Regions from separate parts of the Mus musculus genome. Here all the other regions are reported to be linked to region 2. Evidence: microRNA targets listed by miRTarBase, many of them from high-throughput screens and not tested one by one. Region 2 holds a microRNA gene; each other region holds the end of a gene's coding sequence. Distances are from middle to middle.
What was found. The annotated mature microRNA mmu-miR-466a-3p reads UAUACAUACACGCACACAUAAGA and lies in region 2 at 2,285-2,307, opposite strand. An mRNA with a match to its seed (bases 2 to 7 or 8) in the 3' UTR can be bound and repressed. Matches are read on the target gene's strand: a 7mer-m8 pairs with bases 2 to 8, a 7mer-A1 pairs with bases 2 to 7 and ends in A, and an 8mer does both.

Region 1: miRTarBase lists Haus2 as a target of mmu-miR-466a-3p. Seed matches in the 3' UTR shown: 7mer-m8 at 5,193-5,199, 7mer-m8 at 5,129-5,135, 7mer-m8 at 5,125-5,131, 7mer-m8 at 5,121-5,127 and 7mer-m8 at 5,117-5,123.
Region 3: miRTarBase lists Prl5a1 as a target of mmu-miR-466a-3p. Seed matches in the 3' UTR shown: 8mer at 5,329-5,336.

What each region holds. Positions count from the first base shown.
Region 1 is chr2:120,616,358-120,624,632 of GRCm38, reverse strand. Haus2 (HAUS augmin-like complex, subunit 2) reads right to left here. Exons shown (of 6, transcript NM_025475.3): 5 at 6,652-6,760; 6 at 3,073-5,658. The coding sequence ends at 5,452. Among named protein-coding and RNA genes, the nearest start is that of Stard9, 8.6 kb to the left of the region's middle.
Region 2 is chr2:10,496,637-10,501,040 of GRCm38, reverse strand. Mir466b-2 (microRNA 466b-2) reads right to left here and starts at 2,356; the gene lies at 2,275-2,356. All of the region lies in intron 10 of Sfmbt2 (Scm-like with four mbt domains 2), which reads right to left. It overlaps Mir467a-9 (microRNA 467a-9), which reads right to left and starts at 2,648; the gene lies at 2,566-2,648. Mir669a-10 (microRNA 669a-10) reads right to left here and starts at 2,130; the gene lies at 2,044-2,130.
Region 3 is chr13:28,148,632-28,156,906 of GRCm38, reverse strand. Prl5a1 (prolactin family 5, subfamily a, member 1) reads right to left here. Exons shown (of 5, transcript NM_023746.4): 3 at 8,169-8,275; 4 at 6,885-7,073; 5 at 5,312-5,790. The coding sequence ends at 5,605. Among named protein-coding and RNA genes, the nearest start is that of Prl5a1, 10 kb to the right of the region's middle.

The sequences.
Region 1 (8,275 bases), 110 Mb from region 2:
CAAATCATACCCTCCCACTAACCTGAGACCTTTTTTTTTTTTTTTTAAAGCTTTATTATAGAAAACAAAGGGCAGAGAAGTAGGTTTTTGCCATGGCCATGTGGAGAGAGGGGCGAAGGGAGGGGAAGGAGAGCTAGAGATGAGAATAAGAGAGGTAAGAGTTTAAGAGTGAACCTTTTTTTTTTTTTTTACATTTGTGTACATGCACGTATTCATGTTTGTGCATGTGAGCTCAGGACATGGCGACCAGAGGTAGGCACAAGACACGGAGTATCTTCCTTAGTTGCTCATCACTGTATTTTTTGAGACAAACCCTCTCACTATATCTGAAGCTCACCAGTTGGCTAGGCAGGCTGGCCAGCCAGTCTCAGAGCTCCTCCTGGGTCTGCTTCCCTAACACTAGAATTACAGGTGTGTGCCTGGCTGAAAAATCTGATTTCAAGCCCTCATGCTTTTGTGGCAAGCACTTTACTGACAAGAATCATCTCCCCAAATCCCATTTAAAACTTTGTTTTTGAGATAGAATCCTCTATACAACCCTGACTGTGCTGAAACTGAAACTTGGTATGTGGACTATGGAGCCTCAAACTCACAAGACATCCACCTGCCTGCTTCATTAATTGTAGCCTCTGCTACAATTAAAGGTGTGTGCCACCATCCTGGGCCTCATAAACTTTTTCCTTTCATTTTCTTTATGTGGACGAATGTTTTTGCCTTAATGTAAGGAAGGTCTGTACACCTTGTCAGTAGGCCAATGGATTCCCCTGGGACTGAACCTGGGATTCAAACTTGGATCTTCTGGAAGAGCAGCCAGTGCTCTTAACTGCTCAGCCATCTCTGTAGCATCTTTTATATAAATTCATTTGTTTTACAAACATCTGAGAAAATCTCACATGTATTGACTTCTCTGAGTCATTACAAAATCAACTATATAATGGCTTCTTCCCCACCATCTCCCCATATGATTTAAATCAAAATTTTTCTTAAGATTCTCTTGTTCCTCAAACCTCCTGATTTCACTGAAACTCCAAAAGGACAAATGAGAGCTGAGGGCTGAAGTCACAGGCCAGAAAAATAAGTAAAGAGCCACAAAAGACAAGAAGAGTGATCCCAAATAGTCTACAAATTGGCATAGTTATTCTGGAATCACATTTACAAATCTCACATACCTCTTCTAATATAAGTAGAAAATACATTCCTGATTTTTTTTTATTATCTACATGTAGAAATCAAACTTTATAATTTGATCAAGGCCAAGTGGTGGTGGCACATGTCTTTAATTGCAGCACTTGGGAGGCAGAGGCAGGTGGTGGATCTCTGAGTTTGAGGCCAGCCTGGTCTACAAAGCAAGTTTTAGGCAGGGCTGTTACACAGAGAAATTGTCTCAGAAAGAAAAAAAAAGTTTGATCAAACCCTCATGGCTAAGCCTGACATTCCCACCTCCAAGCCCAGAAGCCACTCAAAAGACTTCCCCTGCTGGACCTGCTTCCTCATTTATTTCTGTATGTATAGGACTGTGGTCAAGTGAGGAGGTCAGAGGGCAAATTTGGGTGTTAGTTCTCACCTCTAACAGGATCTCTTGTCTGCAGCTTTGTATAGGAACTAGCTGGCCTTTCTTTTGCCTCCCATTTATGTGGCTTCTGGGGATTTGAACTCAAGTCCTTACCCTTGCTTGTGAACTTTTGCCCACTGAGCTTTCTCCTCAGCTCCTGCCTGTGTGTTCTTGCTAACTCGTAGCTTCTTTTTTTTTTTTTTTAAGATTTATCTATGAGGCTGGAAAGATGGCTCAGTGGTTAAGAGCACTGACTGCTCTTCCAGAGGTCCTGAGTTCAAATCCCAGCAACCACATGGTGACTCACAACCATCTGTAATGAGATCTGACCCCTTTTCTGGTGTGCCTGAAGACAACTACAGTGTATTTTTTTTTCAAAGATTTATTTATTTATTATATGTAAGTACACTGTAGCTGTCTTCAGATACTCCAGAAGAGGGCGTCAGATCTCGTTACAGATGGTTGTGAGCCACCATGTGGTTGCTGGGATTTGAACTCTGGACCTTCGGAAGAACTGTCGGGTGCTCTTACCCACTGAGCCATCTCACCAGCCCCAGTGTATTTATAATAATAAATAAATCTTTTAAAAAAATTAAAAAAAAAGATTTGGGCTAGTGAGATGGCTCAGTGGGTAAAAGCACCCGACTGCTCTTCCGAAGGTCCGGAGTTGAAATCCCAGCAACCACATGGTGGCTCACAACCATCCGTAACGAGATCTGACTCCCTCTTCTGGAGTGTCTGAAGACAGCTACAGTGTACTTACATATAACCAATAAATAAATCTTTAAGAAAAAAAAAGATTTATCTATGGATGTGAGCACACTGTAGCTGTACAGATGGTAGTGAGCCTTCATGTGGTTGTTGGGAATTGAATTTTTAGGATTTCTGTTTGCTCTGGTCAACCCCCCTCGCTCAGTCCCTGATTGCTCCATCCCAAAGACTTATTTTTTTTTTTAAGATTTATTTATTACATGTAAGTACACTGTAGCTGTCCTCAGACACTCCAGAAGAGGGAGTCAGATCTCATTACAGATGGTTGTGAGCCACCAAGTGATTGCTGGGATTTGAACTCAGGACCTTCAGAAGAGCAGTCAATGCTCTTACTCGCTGAGTCATCTCACCAGTCTCAGCTTTCTCTTCTTATCCATCTTCTTCTTCCATGAAACTATAGATATCTGTAGCTTGCCTGTCCTTAGAACTGCCCTCTAGTTTCACAAGAATAAAAACACTTGTTCAAGCCAGACACAGTGACATATGCCTGTACTCTCAATATTTGGCGAGCAGAGGCCAGAGGATTGTTGAATCCAATTCTCTCTCCATCCCGAGTAACTGTCTTCTATAAACAAACTCACTACTTATTGACCACACTGATATAAAATTAGCTTTTCTCTCTATGTTAGAATTTAAGTTTAAATTATCTTAAGCTTTTGTGAGCCAGACAGCTCGAATGCTTCTATGTTGTATGTGTTAAGCTAAGAGTATTTTTTTTTCTGTTGCTTGGGATTCATATTGGAGCCACATTTAGTTGAAATTAGTTTATTTTTACAGCTTGAGTCATTAATAAAAGTAAAAATTACAAAACCACAAAGAATATTGATAGTGTCAAAATAATGAATATATTTACACATAAAACACACAAGAATTCATACAAGGAAAATGAATAGTTAAAAAAATTGAGATGAAATACAAATAAAGATTTTACTAACTTGGCTAGGTGATGTTCAAAACCTTAACACCACTTTTTTTTTTTTTTGGTTTTTGAAGACAGGGTTTCTCTGGTTTTTTTGTTTGTTTGTTTGTTTTGGAGTCAGGGTTTCTCTGTATAGCCCTGGCTGTCCTGGAACTCACTTTGTAGACCAGGCTGGCCTCGAACTCAGAAATCTGCCTGCCTTTGCCACCCAAGTGCTGGGATTAAAGGCGTGCGTCACCACACCCAACTTTAACACCACTCTTATATGGCACATTTGTAAAAGCGGGAGACTTTCAAGACAATAATCTATTGTTTTAGCAGGGCCCTTTTGGAGGTTGGGGGTAGGGTAAAGACCCTGCTTCCTTGTGAACATCTACTTTACTATGCACCAAGTCTTGTATTAAGAGCATGATGAGCAGGTTTGCTACACTCCCACAGTGCAGAATAAAACAGTAAGGAAATCCTAATGCACACGTTTGAAAGGAACTCAGATCCTAGCTTAAACATAAGGCGAAGTACTTACAGGACTGATGAGTGAGAAAATCTTGAGACAATTGTTACAATCTCTACTTTTAAGTATACTTGCCTCCATCTTAAGAATAACCCTAAAATAATAAAATAAAAATAACCCTAAGTAGGTAAAATATATTAGTATTTTCCATTACAAACCTCTAAACTTTAGCCAGATATGATACCACATGTCTGTGATTCCAGCACTAGGGCGGCAGAGGCAAGGAAAATCATGTGTTTGAGACCACCCTGGGAAACATAGTGAGTTCAAGTTCTGCCTTGGCTACATATAGGAAGTACCAAAACAAAGAATTCTAAACTTTTACACGAAGACTCCGTTTCTTCTCTGTTGGTCCTCAGCGTTTATTTCCTAACACAGCCAGGTTCAGTGAGTGATCTATCTGCCAAGAGGAGTTATGAGACTTGGTGTCATCACTCACAGCAGTGACTCAGTACAGCAACTCAGCTGTTACATGGTTTTTTTTGTTTTGTTTTGTTTTTTCGAGACAGTGTTTCTCTGTGTAGCCCTGGCTGTCCTGGAACTCACTTTGTAGACCAGGCTGGCCTCGAACTCAGAAATCCGCCTGCCTCTGCCTCCAGAGTGCTGGGATTAAAGGCTCGCGCCACCACACCCGGCTTTGTTACATTTGTTGAATGCTATCTACCATCAAAACTGTTAGGGACGAGGTGCTCTGCAATGCCAGGGACCAGTACCAAAGGTACTTTCTACTTGGTACGGACCAACATCCTAGGCTCTCAGAAGGAAAGAAAGTATCCCACACAAACTACACTGTACAGTCTGTTCAAACTGAGCCCTTCTCAGCCTCTTATTACATAAGTTTCTAGATGGGTCAGCCAAGGAACCACCACTTTACGAAGTCTTCAAAGGGTTACAGTCCTGGTATGTAGCTAATCTACAATCTCACAGGAATAATCACGACAGTTTCAGATTCAGGAACATTCAATTCAGAAATGGTTTTAAAAGATGTAATGCAGAATCATAGCACACAATCTTCTGTATGAAGAATGTTCAACTCACTTATAATAAACTATCATGCATATAGTTAATCTTTTTTGTTGTTAGTAAAACAATTTTAATTCAATGTGAGTGCTCTGCTGCACATACATCTGCAGGCCAGAAGAGGGCATCAGACCCCCTTATAGATGGTGGTGAGCAACCTTGTGGTTGCTGGGAATTGAACTCAGGACCTGTGGTAGAGTGGCCAGTGCTCTTATCCCCTGAGCCAACCCACCAGCCCCACAGTTATCATTTTTAAGCTTCACTGAAGAAAGAGAGTGAAAACATGTAAAGAAGTGAAGCCATATGTACTCCAATGTGCTCGCTCTCTCATGTGCGCGTGCACATACATACATACATACATACACACACACACACACACACACACACTTTCATTTTTCTATTTTTGTGTGTACAGGCACATACATATGATGACACAAGTGTGGACACCATAGGATCGAGTATCTGTGGGAATCAGTGATCCCCTTCTGCTAATGTGGATCCCAGGGACTGAACTCAGGCTGGAAGGCTTGAAGTAGGAGCTTTTTCCCACTGAGACATCTTTCTGGCTCCACTATTCCATTAATATTGCTAGCAAGAAAAACTATCAATATCCCTGTCACAACAATCTAGAAACGGACTTCTTTGACTACATGTAATTAATCCAAAGTAAAGATGACATCACTTGGCCCTGGAGGTTTCGGTGTGAGCCTTAGGAAAAAAAGGTAAAGGAGGCACTATGTCAAGTTCATGAAGATGGCGTTCTTCAGTTAGCATTTTGGGGATATACAAGGAAATTTCTGTTTGTAGTTCTCGCCACTTGAGTATATTCTCTGCCAGTTCTTCTGTCTTGTTCACCAAAATATCCATCTTGGCTAAAGCTTTGCTCTGTAACATTTGAAATAAAGAAAAATAGAAAAAAACCTGTCATTGATTACAGAAATAAATACTTCAAAAATTAGCATTGGATCTTTTTCTAGTCCTTTAGTGCTGGAGCGACAGCTTGGCTGTAAGAGTATACTTGCTGCTCTTCTGGAGCACCTAGGTGTGATTCTCTCTCCTCCCTCCCTCCCTGCAATGTGAGTGTACAAACATACACACATTTTAAAATAAAAAACAAAAGTAAAAACCACAACCTTCACTACCAACAAAAAATGCAATGGCTCCCCAGTATTCAGAGAGTAAAGTCTAAAGTTCTCAGTCTATTGGAGGTTGAACCAGGAGCACTTTGAACTCAAGGCCTGCCTGAATCATATAGTGAATGCATGGTCACTCTATGCTAAAAAGTAAGAACCTGCCTAAATAAATACATACATACATAAATAAATCTTTTTCTTAAATTTTGGTTTTTAAAGACGGGGTTTCTCTGTGTAACAGCCCTGGCTGTTACGATTAATAACAATTATAGGTACAGGGCACCATGGCTAAGAAAATCTTTGTCTTTTTTTATGTTTCATGATTTTAATAATGACTAACTCAAAGTGAAATAAGCCAAGTGAAGAAAGACAAACATGGTAAGGCTTGTCTTGTATGTATATTCTATATTTGAATGGTCTGTGTTTCTGCAGGAGACTGCGAAGAGGAAGAGACATGAAGGGCTGGAGGTGAGAGTGAAAGAGTAACAGTCCATGTGACATACAAACAAAAAGCGCCTTTATCTGGAGGAGGCGAGAGGGCTAGGAGAGCGGGATGGAGAAGATGAGAGAGGACAGCCCCAGAGGAGAACCCACTAGAGCAAAGGTTAATCACATATTCATATGACAGTGTCGTGATGAAATACATTTCTCCTTAGGAGCCTGAGGCTAGCCTGAGCTACATGAGACTATCTAAAAGATAAAACCAAGACAAAAAACAGAGAGCAGCTATATTAATGATACTCACCATTTGCTTTAGGTTTGCGTCTAAATGAGGGCTATTTTTAACTGTTTCAAGATGGGTTTCAAATTTCTCAATGAAAGTCACAGCCAGATCCAACATATGTACCACATATCTGAAAGAGAGTGTTATATTTTGAATGTAAATTTATCCCACAGGCTCCTGTGTTTGAACACTTGGTCCCTATTGGGTGACGCTGTTTGAGTACTTATTGGAGTTTTGGGGCACTGGTAGATGTAGATCACTAGGGACAGACCTTGAAGGTGTTCTCCAATCCCTAATCCATTATGATGTGAAGAAGCCATGCTGCAAGTTGTTGCCACCACAGATGGGAGTTGCCCCATTGCCCCAGCCACAGGGATTTCCCTACCATGTTCGATGTATTTCAAACCTCTTTCTAAGTTGCTTCTGTGAGGAATTCTGGGACAGAAAAGTAGTAATACAGGGAGAAAAATAGTAACTTTTCTTCTCTAGTAGTTTCATTTCTTTTCCTTTAATTAGGACTGTTAATTTGAAATAAGCAAATCTAATGAATATAATTAACCTTTTAATGGAATTATCAGTAGTAAAAAAGGTTCTTCCCTTTTACTTAGGGCAAAACCTAGGCTGTCACACAAACAGAAAAATGGAATAAGTTAGGCATCATGGTATTCATCTTTAATCCCAGCAATCAGGAGTCAGAGGCAGGTGGATCTCTGTGAGTCCAAGGCCAGCCTAGGCTACAGCCAGGGCTACATAGAAAAACACTGCCTCAAAAGACCCAAAAGATCTTAAAGAAAAAAAAAATGGAAAGACACATATTTATGATAACTAAAATCTAACTCAATGGCACATCTTGATTCCCAGCATTTGGGAGGCAGAGGCAGGAGGCTCTCTGTGACTTTGAGATCAGCCTGGTCTACAGAGTGAGTTTTAAGCCAGTCAGCACTACATATTGAGCTCTATCTCAAAAAAGGAAGAAAAAGGAGAAGGACGGAGGAGGAGGGGAGGAAGAGGAGGATAACCTTCAGTGGTTGATAATAACCATCTCACATAAAGCGACTTCCCTAAACACAACCTTATACTGGTTCAGATAACTGACAAGACACCAGGGATAAACATTACATTGAAAATATCACATAATTTTTCTGAATCTGCATTAATAAAATCTTCAAAGTCATTACTCAGCTCATCTTTTTGTTGTTGTTCTTTGTTCTATTTTTAAATCACTTGCAGGAGACTGAGATATATTACTGTAGAGGTAAGTGCAAAGTCCAATGTCCAGTTTTTATCAGCTTCAACTATACAGCAGATTTGAAGACAGCCTATATAAGACCTTGTTTCAAAAATAATTGTTTCCAGGTTTTGCAACCCTCTGATCCCCATCCCCTCTATCTTTTTAAGAGAGGGTCTTGATATGTAGCCCTGGCTGGCTGTACTAAAACTAGCAACGAGCTCTGTAGATCAGGCTGGCTTCAAACTCACAGTGGTCCAGCCTCTGCCACTCCAGTGCTGGGAGTGTGTCACCATGGCTAGCTTCAGTTTGTAATTCTCTTATGGCTTGGGTTTTCTCGAGATAGGGTTTCTCTGTGTAGCCTTGGCTGTCCTGGAACTCACTCTGTAAACCAGGCTGGCCCTTTCTTTTTACCAG
Region 2 (4,404 bases):
TCCTGATCTTCCCGACTCTACCAAGGGTTTTCCCGTGGTTTGTGAGACCTCACCCTGGCCCAGTCATACATAACCTCCAAAGCAGTAGGTCACATTTCATTCAAATGGATCCGTGAGGGCCATTCCCGCATGTCTGTGTGCATGTGTGTGTAGGTGTGTGTATGTATATGCATAAAATATACACGCATATACATGCAGGCACTTACGCACACAGGCACATACATAGGGGCCATCACATTAGTCCAGGATGATCTCTAACTGCTCATGAAGTTAAGCATGAAATTGAACTCCTGATCTTCCTGACACTGCCAATTGTTTACACCTGGTGAGAGAGAATATTCACTGTCCCTCTACTTTATAATCAGCAAAATTCTAAGACATATATCATTCAAATGGATCAATGAGTGTCATTCTTATGTGTGTGAGTGTGCATGCCTGTGTGTGTGTGAATACATTTGTATGTGTGTGTATTTATAGGGATGATCATATACACACATGTACGTGCACACACAATTATATGCACATGTACACACCTAGGGTCCATGACGCAAATCCAGGGTGATCTCTAACTCTACATGAAGTTAAGCATGAATTTGACACGAGAAGACTCCTAACTCTGGTAAGCGGTTTTCATGTGATAAGTTGGATGTTTCCATATACCATGAATATACACTCAATGAAACTCTAAGCACGTATAAATCAAATGGCTGACTGACATGTGTGTTTGTGTGCACATGTATGTGTCCCTCGGTGTGTGTGTGTGTGTGTGTGTGTGTGTGTATGCATGTTCATATACACACATGTACAGGCACACTTCCCTATACACATACACACATACACAGGGAAAATCACATGAATTCTGGACTGATCTCTAACTCATCATAAAGTTTAAATGAATTTGAACTGCTCATCCTCATGATGCTGGCAAGAGTATTCACCTCCTAACTGAGACAAAGATCTGGCCGTTAGTGAGAGTATGTTTGCATGTGAGTATATGCATATTCATATACAAAAGTGAATATGTACACAAGAATAAACACATGCACATTCTTGGTGGGCATCACATGAATGGCATATTGAACTCTAACTCATCATGAAGTTAATCATGAATTTGAACTACTCATCCTCCTGACTCTGGCAAGAGTACTCACCTCCTAACTGAGACATAGCTCTGGCCATTCCTATGAATGTGTGTGCATGCGTGTATATGCATATTCATATAGAGAAGTGAATATGCACACAACTATACACACATGTACATTTTTGGTGGGCATAAGATGAATCCCATGCTGGTCATGAACTCATCATGAAATTCAGCACAAATTTGAACTCCTGATCCACCTGACTCTGTGAAGGGACTTCACCTGCTGAGTGAGACCTGTCCCCATTCAGTACTGAGGAATGTTAAAACTCTAAGTCACACGTCATTCAAATGGATCGATGAGTTGCACTGATGTTTGTGTGTGTGTTTTGTTTGTGTCTGTGTACATGTATATATTTGTGTAGATAGGTACATCCATATACTCAAATCCACACACAATAGAAACAGATACAGATAGATATACATAGGGGGCATCACATGAATCCCAGGCATATCTCTAAGTCATCATGAAGTAAAGCATGAATTAGAACTCCTGATCCACAATCTTTCATACCAGGTGAGTAAAACCATTCACTGACCCACTACTGCATAATATTTAAAACTTTAAGTCACATATCATTCAACGTATAAATGAATGCAATTTTTTCCTGTGTGTGTGTGCTTGCATATACACGTGTGTTTATGTTATGTATATCATGTCAACACATGCAATGCACATACAAGTAAACACACATGCACATACATGGGTGGCATCACATGAATACCAGGATGATCTCTAACTGAATTAAGCATGAATTTGAAATCTTTATCCTCCTGACTTTGTCAATCTTTTACACCTGGTGAGTGAGGCCATTCAATGTCCCCTATTGCATAATCTCTAAAACTCTACATCACTTATCATTCAAAGGGATTGGCGAATGCCATTCCTGTGTCTGTGTATGTGTGCTTGCGTTTATACGTGTGTGTGTATGTTATGTATATTCAAATATAGACATGAACATGCACACACAACTATACACACATGCACATACATGGAGGAATCACAGGCTGATCTCTCATGAGGATAAGTATGAATTTGAACTCCTGATACTCTTAACTCTAGCAAGCATTTTCACTCTAAGTCACTTATCACTCAAATGGATTGATGAGTGCCATTCCCATGTGTCTGTGTGCTCATATGTGTCTTATGTGTGCGTGTATGTATATGTATATCATATTCAGACATGTACATGTACACACACATCAACACATACACACATACATAGGGGCAATCACATGAATGCCAGGATGACCTCTAACTCATCATGCCTTTACCATGAACTTGCACTCCTGATCTTCCCGACTCTACCAAGGGTTTTCCCGTGGTTTGTGAGACCTCACCCTGGCCCAGTCATACATAACCTCCAAAGCAGTAGGTCACATTTCATTCAAATGGATCCGTGAGGGCCATTCCCGCATGTCTGTGTGCATGTGTGTGTAGGTGTGTGTATGTATATGCATAAAATATACACGCATATACATGCAGGCACTTACGCACACAGGCACATACATAGGGGCCATCACATTAGTCCAGGATGATCTCTAACTGCTCATGAAGTTAAGCATGAAATTGAACTCCTGATCCTCCTGACACTGACAATTGTTTACACCTGGTGAGTGAGACCTTCACTGTCCTTCTACTTTATAATCAGCAAAATTCTAAGACATATATCATTCAAATGGATCAAAGAGTGTCATTCTTATGTGTGTGAGTGTGCATGCCTGTGTGTGTGAATACATTTGTATGTGTGTGTATTTATAAGTATGATCATATACACACATGTACGTGCACACACAATTATATGCACTTGTGCATACCTAGGGTCCATCACACAAAAACAGGGTGATCTCTAACTCATTATGAAGTTAAGCATGAATTTGAACTCCTGAGACTCCTAACTCTGGCAAGTGGTTTTCATCTGATAAGTGAGATTATTCACTATACCATGAATATACACTCAATGAAACTCTAAGCACGTATAAATCAAATGGATGACTGCCATGTGTGTTTGTGTGCACATATATGTGTCCCTAGTTGTGTGTATATATACATATGCATGTTCATATACGCGCATGTACAGGCATACTTCCCTATACACATAAACACAAACACAGGGAAAATCACATGAATTCCCGGCTGATCTCTAACTCATCATAAAGTTAAACATGAATTTGAACTACTCATCCTCATGATGCTGGCAAGAGTATTCACCTCCTAACTGATTAATAGCTCGGGCCATTCATGGGAGTATGTTTGCGTGTGAGTATATGCATATTCATATACAGAAGTGATTATGTACACAACTATACACACATGCACATTCTTGGTGGGCATCACATGAATCGCATGCTGAACTCTAACTCATCATGAAGTTAAACATGAATTTGAACTCCTCATCCTCCTGACACTGGCAAGAGTACTCACCTCCTGAGACATAGCTCTGGCCATTCCTATGAATGTGTGTGCATGTGTGTATATGCATATTCATATAGAGAAGTGAATATGCAGACAACTATACACACATGCACATTTTTGGTGGGCATAAGATGAATCCCATGCTGATCATGAACTCATCATGAAATTCAGCACAAATTTGAACTCCTGATCCACCTGACTCTGTCAAGGGACTTCACCTGCTGAGTGAGACCTCTCCCCATTCAGTAATGAGGAATCTTAAAACTCTAAGTCACACGTCATTCAAATGGATCGATGAGTTGCACTGATGTTTGTGTGTGTGTTTCTGTTTGTGTCTGTGTACATGTATATATTTGTGTAGATAGGAACATACATATACTCAAATCCACACAAAATATAAACAGATACAGATAGGGATACATAGGGGGCATCACATGAATCCCAGGCATATCTCTAAGTCATCATGAAGTAAAGCATGAATTAGAACTCCTGATCCACAATCTTTCACACCTGGTGAGTAAAACCGTTCACTGTCCCAGTACTGCATAATCTTTAAAACTTTAAGTCGCATATCATTCAAACGTATAAATGAATGCAATTTTTTTCTCTGTGTCTGTGCTTTCATATACACGTTTGTTTATGTTTTGTATATCATGTCAACAGATGCAATGCATATACAAGTAAACACATATGCACATACATGGATGGCCTCACATGAATACCAGGATGATCTCTAACTGAATTAAGCATGAAGTTGAAATCCTTATCCTCCTGACTTTGTCAATCTTTTACACCTGGTGGGTGAGACCATTCAATGTCCCCTATTGCATAATCTCTAAAACTCTAC
Region 3 (8,275 bases), not on the chromosome of region 2:
TAGCCCTGAGTTTGATTATTTCCTGCAGTCTACTCCTTTTGGATAAATTTGCTTTCTTTTGTTCTAGAGCTTTTAGGTGTGCTATTAAGCTGCTAGTGTATTCTCTCTCTCTCTCTCTCTCTCTCTCTCTCTCTCTCTCTCTCTCTCTCTCTCTCTTTTGCAGCACTCAGAGCTATGAGTTTTCCTCTTAGGACTGCTTCCAATGTGTCTCATAAGTTTGGGTATGTTGTGGGTTCATTTTCATTAACCTCTAAAAAGTCTTTAATTTCTTTCCTTATTTTTTCCTTGACCAAGTTATCATTGAGTAGAGTGTTGTTCAGTTTCCATGTGAATATTGGCTTTTTATCATTTATGTTGTTATTGAAGATCAGCCTTAGTCCATAGTGATCAGATAGGATGCATGGGATAATTTCAATCTTCTTGTATTTGTTGAGGCCTGTTTTGTCACCAATTATATAGTCAATTTTGGAGAAGGTACCATGAGGTGCTGAGAAGAATGTATATCCTTTTCTTTTAGGATAAAATGTTCTGTAGATATCTATTAAATCCATTTGTTTCATAACTTCTATTAGTTTCCAGAATCTGTCCATTGATGGGAGTGGGGTATTGAAGTCTCCAACTATTGTGTTAATTGCAATGTGTGCTTTGAGCTTTACAATAATTTCCTTAATGAATGTGAATGGTGTTGTCTTTGGAACATAGATATTCAGAATTGAGAGTTCATCTTGGAAGATTTTACCTTTGCTGATTATGAAGTGCCCCTCCTTGTCTTTTTTTGATAATTTTGGGTTGGAAGTAGATTTTATTCGGTATTAGAATGGCTACTGCAGCTTGTTTCTTTGGACCAATTGCTTGGAAAATTGTTTTAGCATCTTTTACTCTGAGGCAGTATCTGTCTTTGTCCCTGAGGTGGGTCTCCTGTATCCAGCAATAAGTTGGGTCCTGTTTATGTAGCCATTCTGTTAGCCTGTGTCTTTTTAATGGGGAATTGAGTCCATTGATAGTAAGAGATATTAAGAAATAGTAATTGTTACTTCCTGTTATTTTTGTTGTTAGAGTTGGAATTCTGTTCTTGCGGCTATCTTCCTTTAGGTTTGTTGAAGGATTACTTTCTTGCTTTTTCTAGGGCAGCGTTTTCCTTATTGTGTTGGAGTTTTCTTTTTATTATCCTTTTTAGTGCTGGATTCCTGGAAAGATATTGTGTGAATTTGGTTTTGTCATGGATTACTTTGCTTTCTTCGTCTATTGTAATTGAGTGTATTGGTGGGTATAGTAGCTAACATTTGTGTTCTCTTAGGGTCTGTATAACATCTGTCCAGGATCTTTTGGCTTTCATAATCTCTGATGAGAAGTCTGGTGTAATTCTAATAGGTCTTCCTTTATATGTTACTTGACCTTTTTTCCCTTTCTGCTTTTAATATTCTATCTTTATTTAGTGTTTTGTTGTTCTGATTATTATGTGTTGGGATGAATTTCTTTTCTGGTCCAATCTATTTGTAGTTCTGTAGACTTCTTGTATGTTCATGGGAATCTCTTTCTTTAGGTTAGGGAAGTTTTTTTCTATAATTTTGTTGAAGATATTTACTGGTCCTTTAGGTTGAAAGTCTTGATTCTCATCTATACCTATTATACTTAGTTTTGGTCTTCTTATTGTGTCTTGGATTTCCTGGATGTTTTGGGTTAGGATCTTTTTGGATTTTTGCATTTTCTTTGATTCTCTCTTCCATCTCTGGTATTCTGTTGCTGATGCTCACATTCATGGTTTCTGATTTCTTTCCTAGGATTTCTATCTCCAGAATTGTCTCCCTTTGGGTTTTCTTTATTTTTTTCTATTTCCATTTTTAGATCTTGGATGGTTTTATTCAATTCCATCACCTGATTGGTTATGTTTTTCTATAAGTCTTTAAGTCTATTGGTTTGTGTTTTCTCTTTAAGGCCTTCTACCTGTTTAGTTGTGTTCCCCTGTATTCCTTTGAGTTATTAATGCCCTTCTTAAAATCCTCTGCCAGCATCATGAGATATGATTTTAAATCTGAATCTTGCTTTTCAGGTATGTTGGGGTATCCAGGACTTGCTGTGTGGTGGGAGTACTACTTTTTTTTGATGCTGGGTAATCTTGGTTTCTGTTAGTAAGATTCTTATGTTTGCCTTTCCCCATCTGATAATCTCTGGTGTTATATGTTCTAGCTGTCTCTGGCTGGAGCTTGTTCCTCCTGTGATTCTGTTAGCCTCTGTCAGCACTCCTGGGAGTACAACTCTCTCCTGAGTCCCAGTGGCCAGAACACTTTCTGTGGTCAAACCCTCCTTTTGCAGGGAAGGTGCACAGAGGTCTGGTTTTCAGATCTGCCCCCTAGCTGAAGATGAAGGCCCGAAGGGACCCTGTCCAGAATCTCTGTTGCTTCTGCGGCCAGCATGCTCTTCTGCTTGGATTGGTCTCTGAGAAACCCGGTAAAGGAGATGGCGCTCTCACCTGAGTCCCCTAGTCAGAGACCTCCCTGGAGGCCAACTTTCCTCTGGTGCCCAGAGGTCTGGGTCTCAGCTCTGCCTCCTGGCTGAGGATGAAGGCATGAAGGGACCCTGTCTGTTGCTTCTGTGGCCTGTGCGCTCCCCTGCGTGGACTGGTCTCTTAAAGACTCAGTATACAAGATGGCTGTCTTACCTTAGTTCCGCAGTCAGAACCTTCTCTGGAGGCAGACTCTCTTCAGTGTTTCTAAGATCCTGGGCATGCTAGGGCACCTATGGCATGGAGAGTCCTCTGGGGACAGTGGGACCATCTATACAGTTTGTGGCCAAGGTGGCCCAGGGCTGGTCCCTACTGGAATGAACCCCAAGTGCTGGTTGGTTAGGTTTCCTGTATTTTTGTACCTGCTGGCACAAGTCCCTCCCGGTTGTTTTGGAACAGATGTTGCATTCCACTCACCAGTGATCCCAAGATCCTGGGTATACTAGGGTGCCTATGGTGTGGACAGTCCTCTTGATATGGTGGGACCATCTGCCGAGTTCGCGCCCAAGGTGGCTCAGTGATGTCGTTATTTTTAATAGCTGCATATTAGTCCATTGTGTAAGTGAGCCACATTTTCTGTATCCATTCTTCAGTTGAGGGACATGTGGGTAAATAAGTCAAGATTTTAGAATTTTCAATTATTTTTGTTTTCATGTTTTAAACTACCTATTAACAGCACATGTTACTTCTAGATTGCATCCAAACTATCTCCCTTGCTATATACCCTACATCGTTCTCTAGGGTATAGTATGGTATGTATTCTTGATGCTCCCATCTACTTGCCTTCCTCAAACTGCCATATATAGCCAGGGTCACGCATCTAGTGCCTGGGCCTATTCTGGCCTCTCTTGACTGGGCTCTAAATGATGCCTAGGCTTTTGCAGGACCTTATCTACCCATCACCTAGTCCATAGGCCCCTCTGAAACCACATGTGACCTTTTCACCTAGCCAGATCTACCCTCACACTCTAGGCTTGGACCAGGAGGCAAATCTTATATATCAACCCACTCTCCTCTGTCCACCTGACATCATTCTATTCAAGTTAGATCTAACTTCTAATTCCAAGTTGCCTGTACACGTTCTCTTCTGTGCCAGTCTAATAGGTCTATATCAGACCTAGAACTAACAAAAGAAGTTCAAATGCTAAGATCTCATCAATGAACTATCAATAATATCAGGTTTTGTTGCATTGAATTTTCATTTTCATTTAATTCCAGGATTTTTTTTTTAAATTTTCTCCTTGACCCACTCATCATTCATTAATGAGCTGCTTAATCTCCATGTTACATCGTTATCAAAAATTCTATAGTTTTTTTCTTTTTGTTGTGTCTTTATATGACTTTGGTAATAGGATAATACTGTTTTCATAGAGTGAGTTCTAGAGAGTTTATTTCCTTTCTGTTTTATGGAATACAGTGAGAACCATTTACTCTCTCTGTTCTTTTACTATCTGATAGAATACTGCAGAGAATCTATCTTTTCTGTGTGGATAAAATCTTTTTTTCCTATTGTTTCTTTGAGCAATTCTTAAGAATAGGTCAGCTGATGGCAAAAGTTGAATTCCACAGTGATATCTTAGCATACATGAGTTCTTTCAGTTAGGTTTAATACTGCCAAAGAAGCCTTATGTTTGTGAAATTGTTTATTTCATTTCAGAAAGATAGTCTATCTAGGCATATTTATAATAGACTTTTTCTTTTAGTGCATGCTACTTAATTGATTATAGATGTCATGGATTTAGAACAGATACACAGATATTTGTTTTTTTGTTTTGCTTTTTTTTTTGTCTTTGTGTGGGTAAGGCAACATCCCCTCATGTCTATTTTAAGTAATTGAATTTTTTCATGAAATTTGACTGTGTTTATCATATGTGCGGACACCACTGGATTTACCCTAACTAGAGTCGCAAAGAGTTTTGAATCTTTAAGGTTTTAACTTCTACTAAAGTTAAAAGATTTTCAGCTTTCCCGTCTTTGAGTGGTCAGGCAACACTATAAATATGTATATATATAATTTTTTCCCTTTTGAAGCACAGTAGTGTGAATGTCGAATATTTTCTTGTTTGACTATTCAGTCTGCTGCAATTTTTTTAGTATGTTATTGTAATTTTCAGATGGAATAATTTGTATTGATCTTTCAGATTCCAATGCTGTGCTCCATATCTTGCATTCTAGTTAAGCCCATTCAGTAGATCTTTTCTTTTTCTTTATTCTATTTATGGTATTTGAAGATAGACACTTTATAATATTTGCATTTTCGTTATTTTTCTGTGAAAATGGTTCATAGTCAATGGCTGGCTTTCATAAAAATACTTGAGATTTCAGTTTATTTTGTAGGATCAAAACCTTGATTATAATAACTTATATTAACTTATTATGATTCTAAGTGAAATTGAATCATCTTTTAAAAACTATTTTTGGTAACAAATTTGAACAGGTTTAATTTTTTATTGTTAAATGAACAAAAGAAATGATGAAAAATTAAGTTTGTTAGACACTGACATTTCTAAAGTGTCAGTGACGTAACCCAAACTCAGAAAGACAAACACTGTATCTTATCTCCCATCTATGGTACTTAGCTTCAAATTTCAGAAGTGAGTTTATTACCTGGAACAACTACATTAAACTGGAAAGATCAAAGAGGCTATGGTGGGATGGAGAGGAGTACTAGAGAGGGAATATCAGTATGTGGGTGAAATGAAGAAAGAAATGGGAAAAATGGTTCTCCAATATTATGTTGTCAACCCTAAAAAGAATACAATAAAGAAAGCAATATATAAAGCAACAATAAAGACGGGCTACATTTATATATTTATTCATTTATTTATACATACACATAGCAATAATACATTATGCATGTGGAATTATAATTAATAAAAATTCATTTTATAAAGAGTAAAATGAGTCAGGGGACAATGGGTAGCAAGCAGTGGGTAGAGGGAAGGAGAAGTGGTGTAATTATATTTAATTAAACATAAAAATTTGAAAAGAAGTGACCCTTTAGATTTAATCACACATAAATATTATAAAACTTAAAGAACTTTTTAAGGATTGGATCAGTATGGACTGCCCCAGAAATAGATAGGAAGGATGAGAGCTTTTCATTGATTAGGCACAATTTGGTCTCTCAGGATACTGATGAAATCAGAAACCTTCTGTGCATCATTGTTCAAGCAGAAAAACAAACTATGCAAACCAAAAAGTTGAACTCTCCTTTTTGATTGCTGTACATATGGCTCTCCTGACCAGGCAGGGTAGTCTTCATTTTTCTTAAGGTCAGGATTAACCTATTTACCAAATAAAAGTCAGCCAGTTATTATTCACATTATTAATATTTATTGAGCTTCATTATTTAAACAATTTGAATGATATTTTGAAGAATATTATGAATATAAATCTTAAAGAAATACACGTGTTTCATGTATGTAGACTAGGGTACTACCAATTTGTTAGTTATCTTAAAACTAGACAGAACTATGCATATATTTTTGTAATATAGTTGATCCAAGATGAAATATATCATTCTAGGAGGAGACAGAATTGCTTCTTGACTATGGACATGGTTTTGACCAAGGGATATGGAAGAATCTATAATCAGTTCTCTTGTGAGGAGGCTTCCATGTTTTCCATGTCATCCCTGAGGTGCCATTTGTAGTTTACTACTCTTTTTTTTTTTTTTTTTTTTGGTTTTTGGTTTTGTTTTTGTTTTTTGAGACAGGGTCTCTCTGTGTAGCCCTGGCTGTCCTGGAACTCACTTTGTAGACCAGGCTGGCCTCGAACTCAGAAATCCGCCTGCCCCTGCCTCTGCCTCCCAAGTGCTGGGATTAAAGGTCTGCACCACCACCACCCGGCTAATTGACAATTTTGCTTTCCTCTATTTCAACAATATTCGTTTTCCATAATTTATGGACACAAAGCTACAGAACTGATGAGGATTGCACCTGGTGGGTTAAAATTCTTCTAATGTATGGATGACTGTGGTGAAATCGTCGGGATACTTAGACTGCACAGGAAAGGCACTGTCCATGCTATTTCTAGCAATCATTAATGCATCAGGAGAGCTCTGTGTTGTGGGGTGCTGAGTGGAAACACTTTTGAGCTGCCACAGTCCTATTAGTCCCTAGATTGTTTATGAGATTACCTGGCTAAATTTCGCTGTGGCAGGCAGAGAATCAGTCCCAGGTTTGTTTTCTTTTTTCCTTTCCTTTCCTTTCCTTTCCTTTCCTTTCCTTTCCTTTCCTTTCCTTTCCTTTTCGTTTGTTTTATTTTTCGAGACAGAGTTTAGCCCTGGCTGTCCTGGAACTCACTCTGTAGTTTTCATTATAGATGCTACATCTATCATAAAACACAAAAGCCATAAGATTTAAAAGAGACCACTTACCTGGCTGAGTATAGTCTTAATGTTCTGCAGATTTTTAGTGAGTTTTTTGATTTGTCTGTCAATCAACTTAACTTTTGATATGATAACATAAGGAGTTCCATCGAGATCAGCCATGTTGTTTTCTACATGGTGCAGAAGGTTTTTCCAGGCAGCCAGCATTCTAATTGTCACATTCAGAAGCACCACAGGCTAAGCAAAAACAATTGAGCATCACGTTAATATAAGGGTATAATTGGGGGTTTGAATTGTATGTGATAACTAGTTGAGTATTCAGAGCTTGTGAAGTATTGATGGTTGGTTGAAGCAATACTGAACTAGTTTGTGAAGTGTCTAGCCATGGAGCAGATCTTAGGAGGCACTTTCTCTTCCTCTACCTTTTCTTATGCTTTACAATTGCTATGTTCCTAGCAGATATGCAGAATGCTGGTCTAGCAAGTCATCAGGGAGACCAGATTATATGTGTGCCATGTGCACATATATTATGATAATTACTTTAAATTATGCTGAGATTGGTTATGAGCAGGCCATCAGATAAGCAGCCTATATATAGTAACACACACACACACACACACACGCACACACACACACTAGCACTGCCTGCCTAATACATATCTATACCCCATAAAACACGAATAGTATTTTACTGGACCTGCATGTAAAGCCCCTAGAGAATGGTGTCAGGTAAGAGTGAAGAAGTAAGCAGAAGAGCAGAAGTACAAGTAACATCTTCCAAGTCAAGACGAGTTTATACGTGGTGGCACACGCCTTTAATCCCAGCACTTGGGAGGCAGAGGCAGGCAGATTTCTGAGTTCGAGGCCAGCCGGGTCTACAGAGTGAGTTCCAGGACAGCCAGGGCTACACAGAGAAACCCTGTCTCGAAAAAACAGAAAACAAAAAAACAACAACAAAAAAAGAAGAGTTTATGTCATGATTAGTAGTGTGCAAAGCTTCCCAAGGAAGTACTCTAGTAATAGTAAAAATTACAACTCTAGTTCCCCCCCCCCTTTTTTTTTTAAAGTCTGCATGGGAGAGTAAATTTAACCATGAAAATTCCAATCAATTCAAAGTTTCTTCCATAATAAAAGGTTCAATCCTAATGATAAAGCTGTTATTAAAATAGGGAATGATTCATGACCAATTCATGACTATGCTTTAAAGTTACTCTCTTATTTTACATGTACTTTATTAGCTATAGGGTATGCCTGTCTTGTGCTGCTTGCTCTGTCTGCACATTCCTGAAGGTTTGGTTACTGTGTTAGTGAATACCTGTTATGAGGACTTACCCGCATTCTTTCAGCCTTCCTTTTGTTGTTTGGGACAGAGCGGGATGAAGTGTGACAGGTCATGGTGGGCCTGTTCTGGAATTTCTGGTGGGGATCATACTCTGTAT